Callithrix jacchus: one gene and its partner. The protein of the gene in region 1 purifies or fractionates together with the protein of each later gene. This does not show direct contact. Links are inferred from orthologs where the notes say so. Each region holds a gene or a part of one and is shown on either strand. Other genes may lie near its edges. The genes, in order: TSC22D4 and NRBP2.

Region 1 (4,491 bases):
AAAACCAAAAAAATTATAAGAAATGTAGCCAGGCATGGTAGTTTGTGTCTGTAGTCCCAGCTACTTGGGAGGCTGATGCAGGAGGATCAATTGAAGCCAGGAGTTTGAGACCATACTGGGGGACATAGTGACAGCCCCACCTCTACAAAAATTTAAAAATTAGCTGGGTGTGGTGGCATGCGTCTAAAGTCCTAGCCACTTGGGAGGCTGAGGCAGGAGTATGGCTTGAACCCAGGAGTTCCAGGCTGTGGTGAGCTTTAATCACACCACTGTGCTCCATCCTGGGCAACAGAGAGAGAGAGAGAGAGACCCTGTCTCTAATAAAAAGGAGGAGGGTGGGGGAGAGGGGAATAATATAATGTCCAGGATTTGATTTCAAATAGTCTAGCAAAATACAGCTGGCTCCCGAACAATGTCATTTCACTGAATGAAATGTCATCTCACTCTGTTGCCCAGGCTGGAGTGCATCTTGGCTCATGGCAGGCCCGACCTCCTGGGGTCATGAGATCCTCCTGCCTCAGCCTCCTGAGTAGTTGGGACTATATGTGTACATCACCACATTCAGTTAATTTTTTAAAAAATTTTTTGTAGAGATGGAGATCTGGCTATATTGTTCAGGCTGGTCTCAAACTCCTCGGCTCAAGAAATCCTCCTCCCTCAGCATTTGAGTAGCTGGAATTACCAGTGCACCTCCCCATGCCCAGCTAATTTTAAAAATTTTTTGTACAGACAGGGATCTCGCTACATTGCCCAGGCTGGTCTCGAACTCCTGGCCTCAAGCGAGCCTTCCACCTCAGCCTTTGAGTAGCTGGAATTATAGGTGCACCTCACCATGCCCAACTAATTCTTTTATTTTTTGTAGGGGCCGGGTCTTGCTATATTGTCCAAACAGGTCTCAAGCTATCCTCCTTCCTCGGCCTCCCAAACAAAGTGCAGGGATTGACAGGTGTGAGCCACAGTATTCGGCAATAATCCACTTTTAAAAATAAGGAATGAGGGGAATAATAGTACCTTCCTCATTTAGTTGCTGTGGAAAGGAAAGGAGAATGACGGTAATAGCCACAGCCGCCCCACAGCAGGAACTAGGCACTTCTGGGGGGGCACCCAGTACACCTCCAGGCCTGTGCCGTCCCTCTCTTTGGTGAGTCTCTAGGAGAGGGGCAACAATTGACTACAAGTAAGGGAATCCCTCGCCTCCCTGCAAGCTCCTCCCCTTTCTCCCCGAGCCCCGCCCTCTGCAGCCCCTCCCTGCAAGAGTGGTGCTGGGGCCCGGCAGGTGTGGGGTTAAGGGAGTCTGTTTGCGGCCCCCAGGAGCAGCAGCCTGAGCAGCGGCCGCAACAACTGCAACAGCAGCGGCTGTGGCAGGCCTGGCCCCTGGCCAGCTGGCGGGGAGCCCCAGGAGGGAGGGAGGGAGGAGGAAGGGGAGGAAGAGGGGAAGGAGGAGGAGGAGGAGAGGAGCAGTCAGCAGGCCCGAGGAGGCAGGACTTCCTGGTGTGGGGGTTGTCAACAGCTCAGAAAGAGAAAGACGGAGAGGCAGACCCAGGGGAGCCGAGGAGCGGAGACAAGGACCCAGCGGGGCCACGCGGGAGGAGACTCGGGACACCAACTCGCCGGCTGCCACCGGGAGCAGCGGGGGACTCCGCCGCCCCCTCCCACATCGTCTCCAGACCCTTGGTGCTTCAGAGGCCGCGCTTGGGCTCCTCGGAGGAGGCTCGGGTTCCTTCTTTTCGGAGAGCAAACTTTACACGGAGATGCCTCGCAGAATGAGCTGCGGCCCCCGAAGAGGACGGGGCAGCCTGTGATCGCCGCCTGCGAGTCCCGCCACTGCCCGGGGCCAGGAGGCCCCAGGGAACCGACAGCCCTACCTCTTAGGCGCCGGGACCCCCAGGCTCAGATCAGTGGCCGAGGCCCCAGAGGTAGGGCTTGTGGCTGGGCGGGGCGCAGAGGGGTAGCCTGGCAGGGCTTGACCCAAAGATGTGGGAGCTGGGGTGAGGGTGGGGGCTGGAGGCCTAGGAGAGGTCTCTCTCTGGGTGGCCGGGCCAGGCTGGGGAGCTGCTTCACCCCGGTTCTCCCAGGCCCTGGAGTCCGAGCTCCTGGGACAATGCAGGATCCCTGAGTCGGAATCCCAAGCGAGAAATGTTCAACTCTGGGACCCGTCTGCCTCTTCCTACCCTGAACGCCTTCTGGGATCCGGTCCCCTCTGCCCTGGTCTCTTGTCATCTCTTGCCTGCCTCTGGTTCTCTGACGGTTTCCTCTTCCCCCACTTTGCTCCCCGGAGAGGAAGCCCCGGAGGTGGCCTGCCCACTGGTTTCACACACACACACAGACACACACATAAACTCTCTCTCTCTCTCTGTCTTTTTCCAGTTTGCAAACTCAGCTCTGGAGTTCAGCAGCGACAGCAGCAGGAAAAACCTGCCCTTGCTCCCCCCTCCTGCCACCTCCACTCTCCTCCTCTCCCCTCACCCAGCAGGCACCCCCGGTTCCCGCCAGGCCCTCCTGCCATGTCGGACCCAGACGTCCCCAGGGGCCCGGATGCCCCCACCATGTGGCCCCCTTGTTCCAGGGGTGCCTGAGCCCCTTCAAGGAGCCCCAGCCTACCCCCAACCTTGGCCCAGCCCTGAGCCCCAGGGACCATGAGCGGGGGCAAGAAGAAGAGTAGTTTCCAAATCACCAGCGTGACCACGGACTACGAGGGCCCGGGGAGCCCAGCGGCTTCGGACCCCCCTGGCCCACTGCCCCCCACCGGGCCCCCACCCCGCCTGCCAAATGGGGAGCACAGCCCTGATCCGGGGGGCAAGGGCACCCCCCGTAATGGCTCTCCCCCACCTGGGGCCCCCTCCTCCCGTTTCCGGGTGGTGAAGCTGCCCCACGGCCTGGGAGAGCCTTATCGCCGAGGTCGCTGGACTTGTGTGGATGTTTATGAGCGAGACCTGGAGCCCCACAGCTTTGGCCGCCTCCTGGAGGGAATTCGAGGGACATCAGCGGGCGCTGGGGGCAGATCTTTGGATTCCAGGTTGGAGCTGGCCAGCCTCGGCCTGGGCACCCCCACCCCACAGTCAGGCCTGTCTCAGGGCCCCACCTCCTGGCTCCGTCCACCGCCGACCTCTCCCGGACCTCAGGCCCGCTCCTTCACTGGGGGGCTGGGCCAGCTGGTGGTGCCCGGAAAAGCCAAGGCAGAGACACCCCCACTGTCGGCTTCCCCGCCTCAGCAGCGCCCCCCAGAGCCTGGGACTGGGGAGAGCGGGGGCACATCTCGGGCTGCCACACCCCTGCCCTCCCTGAGGGTGGAAGCAGAGGCTGGGGGCTCCGGGTCCAGGACCCCTCCACTGTCCCGGAGGAAGGCTGTAGACATGCGGCTGCGGATGGAGTTGGGTGCTCCAGAGGAGATGGGGCAGGTAAGACCTGGGTTCTAGGGCTCGCCCATCTCAGCCCTGGCCTGACCTTCATGTTGGGCCTCCCTACCTCTGCCTCCCTCCCCCTCCTCCCCCCTCCTATCCCTTCTCCTCCTCCTCCTCCACCTCCTCCTCTTCCATCACCTGTCTATCAGATCAGACAGCCCCTTCTCTGTGCCTGCCAAGTCACTCTCAAGCCCCTTCCTTGGTTTTCTGCCTCAGCCTCCTTCCTGTTTTTTGCACCCTTTCTCTTTCTCTCTGGCCTCTGATTCTGTCTTGGTTTTCACGTGGCCTGGCATATGTGGCCTCCTCACCTGGCCTTCTTCTGTCTTGGTCTCAGCTCCTCTGGCTCTAGGTGATGAGGGTGGAGGCCCCAGCTGGGTAGCTGGGTCCCTGGGGTAGGAGCTGCCAGGATTTGGGGAGGAATGGTAAAAGGTAGGCCTTGTATGCTGCCAGTCTCTTTCCACTGCAGCCCCATCCTGAATGTGGGGTCTTTCTTTTCCCCCAGCCACCCATCGCAGTCCCACTTCTAGCTTTGCTGCAAGCCAAGTGTCATGGAGAAATTGGGTGGGGGGAACACCTCCCTGGGATGGGGAAGGGGCTTGCTGGTTGATCCTTTTCACTCCCCAGTTGTCTGGCTCAACTCCCTCCAGGCAAGAAGAACTTGAGGAGGAATGCAGTCCCCGTACTGTTTCTCCTTCCTGTCTCCAAAAGAGGAACAAGTCTGGGCTGGGGGTGGGGGGCAGGATGCCTGGGTCCCCAGGGTGGGGGCGAGAAGCCAGAGACATGGGGATTGAATACTTCTGTCCTGCGGGAGAAAATAACACCTCGGAGGGCTGGGGAAAGGCAGGGAGTGTGAGGATGCGAACTCTTTCCCCTTCCTGGCCTTGGGCACAAACCACAGTATAAAAATAACCTGGGACTGGATGTCTGGGTCCTGTCAGGACCAGTCAGGACTGGCTCCCCCCCACCCCTCCTGGCCTCAAGTTCACATCTCTCATGATGCACCCCCCTTCCTTCCCCCACTCTTCTTGAACTCTTGCATTCAACGCCCACCCCGGGGGAGAAGATGCTGTTTCTCTTATTGGTCCCTGTC
Region 2 (2,795 bases), on another chromosome or scaffold:
AAATGGTAGAGCTAACCTCTGTACCTGGGTCTGCTTCAGTCCAATAACTTGACTTTAAATTTCCAGCTTGTGGGGAGACATGGTGGGTGCCAGGCAGGCAAAAGAGGTATGGGATGGAAGCTGCGTCCCCAGCCCCTCTGCTTGGAGTCCAGACTTCGCCCCATGGCCTCAGGAGATGGGGGTGCCTGCACGGGCAGGTGGGGAGCTGGAGCTGGAGTGGGTATGGATATGGACAGGGTGAGGACCTGTCCACATGGCTGTCTCCAGTGTTGAGCCTGAGCTGGGCCGATCAAAAGTCTGTGGGTAGGAGGCCTGCAGGTGTGACTTGAGGGTCATGGCTCCTACTCCCCACAGTTTTTTGAGGGTTGAGGGAAGCAGAGCATGGGCGCTCCAATCCCAGAACCCAGCTGTCCTCAAGCTCGGAGGACCTGGTCCTGGCCTGGCTGCTGCCAGGACTCCTCCCTGTGGTCATCCCTGCATGTCCCATGTGTCCCTGAGGAGGAGGGACATGGGGAACTCAGAAGCTGCCTCTCCTCGAACTGTGGGGTCAGAGCAGAGAGCCCCTGCACACCACCAGCCCCTCCTCCCCACACCCCAGGAGTTCATCCTTTGCTGCCTGGCCCGGGACCCTGCCCGCCGGCCCTCTGCCCACAGCCTCCTCTTCCACCGAGTGCTTTTCGAGGTGCACTCACTGAAGCTCCTGGCAGCTCACTGCTTCATCCAGCACCAATGTGAGCAGCAGGCCAGCCCAGGGGGTGGCCAGGGAGGCTGAGGGTTGGGACGTGGAAGGGGGCTCTGCAGGACCCAAGGCCTGAGCCCATCACCTTGATGCTCCTGTGGCCGCAGACCTCATGCCTGAGAATGTGGTGGAGGAGAAGACCAAGGCCATGGACCTGCATGCTGTCTTGGCAGAGCTTCCCCGGCCCCGCAGGCCCCCACTGCAGTGGCGGTGAGCAGTCAGCGCCCAGAAGCCTCCCCTTCCAGCGTCCCTGGCCAGCCCCTCATGTGCCTCCCACCTCCATGCCAGGTACTCGGAGGTCTCCTTCATGGAGCTGGACAAATTCCTGGAAGATGTCAGGTGAGAGCTGATGTAAGGCTGGGGGCCAGGCAGCTGTCAGGCCTGAGTCCCCAGCTACCCTGGTGTGTCCCCAGGAACGGGATCTACCCACTGATGAACTTTGCAGCCACTCGGCCCCTGGGGCTGCCCCGTGTGCTGGCCCCACCCCCAGAAGAGGTCCAAAAGGCCAAGACCCCAACACCAGAGCCCTTTGACTCTGAGACTAGAAAGGTGAGGCCTCTCTCCTGCTGCTCAGTGCCAGCCCTCAGACAGACAAGAGGTGCCCCTTCTTCTCTCAGGGCCTGCATCCCCACAGCCCAGCTCTCCTCCAGGCGGCCAGAGACCGGATTCAGGCTGATCCTCCGGTGCGGATCGTGGGGGTTGTTGGACAGGCTGGACACTCCCCTTTTCTAGGAGGCTCCATGTCCTCTCAGATCCTTCCCCCACATCCTGCTGCCCTGAACCCACTCCAACCATCTTTCCTCCAGGACTCACCTGGGGCCCTTCTACCTGCCAGCACTCTTCACCCACCCCCGGGTGCTGATTCCTGGACATCTGTGTCCTGGTGTCTCCCCAGACTTCTACAGTGCTGCCTACTGGCCAGAAGCCTCTCTCAGTGCAGTGCAGCCAGAATTCATGTCCTAAACAAGCAAACTGCCTGCTCCTGGCTGGCCACAGAGATCATGGGAGTCCTCAGCCGATGCCCAGGCTCTGGGAGGCCTGATTCTGCAGGCACTGTGCACTTCCGTGTGGCCCTGTCCTGGCCACCCTCCCTTTTCCTGTGCCCATAGTTCCCTCTTTGTTCAAGTCATTCTCTCCATGGTGAAAGCTCCTATTCACCTTTCAGTACCCAGCTCCTAATGTTGATTCTTTAAGAAGCTTTCCTTAGCTTGCCAGGCCACTAGCAGTGAGATGGGCTCCTCTTAGAGACTCCCCGCTTGACGATCTCTGCTGTCCCTTCTGGGCCCCTCTGGCACAGCAGCATGTGCTCTTGCTGCTGGGTTTGTGAGTCCCAGCCTTCCCCCGCTGCAGGTCATCCAGATGCAGTGCAACCTGGAGAGGAGCGAGGACAAGGCACGCTGGCATGTGAGCGGGGCCCGGGAGGACGGCACTGCTGTGGGGAAGGCGGGGGCCTGGCAGACCCCCGAACTCCCCGCCGACTTTGCCCTGCCACCTCCCCAGCTCACTCTGCTTCTGGTGATGGAGGACCGGCTGCACCGGCAGCTGACCTACGACCTGCTCCCAAGTAGGCTGGGCAGGGGACTTGGGCGGTGGGCAGTGACCCCGGGTAGCCGGAGGCGCAGTGGCCTCTAGCCTCACCTTACGCCGTTGCCCCAGCGGACAGTGCTCAGGACCTCGCCGCGGAGCTCGTGCACTACGGCTTCCTCCACGAGGTGTGCAGGGCAGGGTGGTGCTGCCAGGCCGAGGGGGTGTGCGGGGCAGGCCGCACCCCTCCGTCCCCCATGCCTCCCTCCTTCCGCAGGGCGACCGGATGAAGCTGGCCACCTTCCTGGAGAGCACTTTCCTCAAGTACCGTGGGGCCCAGGCCTGACCTGGTGCCCCAGCCCCAGGGGACCATGCCAGGGTGCTGCCCAGGTCAGGCCACATTGGGGAGAGCCCAGCACTGCCAGGCTGCCCTCTACTGTGTCCCTGGGAGCACAAAGGCCCAGGTAGTGAAGAAACCCCCACCTCCTGTGGAGCGGGGCTGACCCTGCCTCCAGGTGCCATGGGTGGGGGT

What was found.
Region 2: the proteins of TSC22D4 (region 1) and NRBP2 purify together in Homo sapiens (affinity purification with mass spectrometry; 3 studies listed by BioGRID and IntAct, counting the BioPlex papers as one, with this or other methods). This does not show direct contact. The link is inferred for Callithrix jacchus from reciprocal best matches to the Homo sapiens genes TSC22D4 and NRBP2.

The regions. Positions count from the first base shown.
Region 1 is NC_133503.1:13,244,999-13,249,489, forward strand, and holds the start of TSC22D4 (TSC22 domain family protein 4), read left to right. Parts: upstream 1-1,513; 5' UTR 1,514-1,916; intron 1,917-2,367; 5' UTR 2,368-2,636; coding exon 2,637-3,398; intron 3,399-4,491.
Region 2 is NC_133517.1:53,777,308-53,780,102, forward strand, and holds part of NRBP2 (nuclear receptor-binding protein 2), read left to right. Parts: intron 1-598; coding exon 599-731; intron 732-846; coding exon 847-949; intron 950-1,027; coding exon 1,028-1,078; intron 1,079-1,152; coding exon 1,153-1,288; intron 1,289-2,089; coding exon 2,090-2,143; intron 2,144-2,239; coding exon 2,240-2,303; intron 2,304-2,395; coding exon 2,396-2,553; coding exon of another isoform or gene 2,554-2,609; 3' UTR 2,610-2,795. UniProt on the Homo sapiens protein: May regulate apoptosis of neural progenitor cells during their differentiation.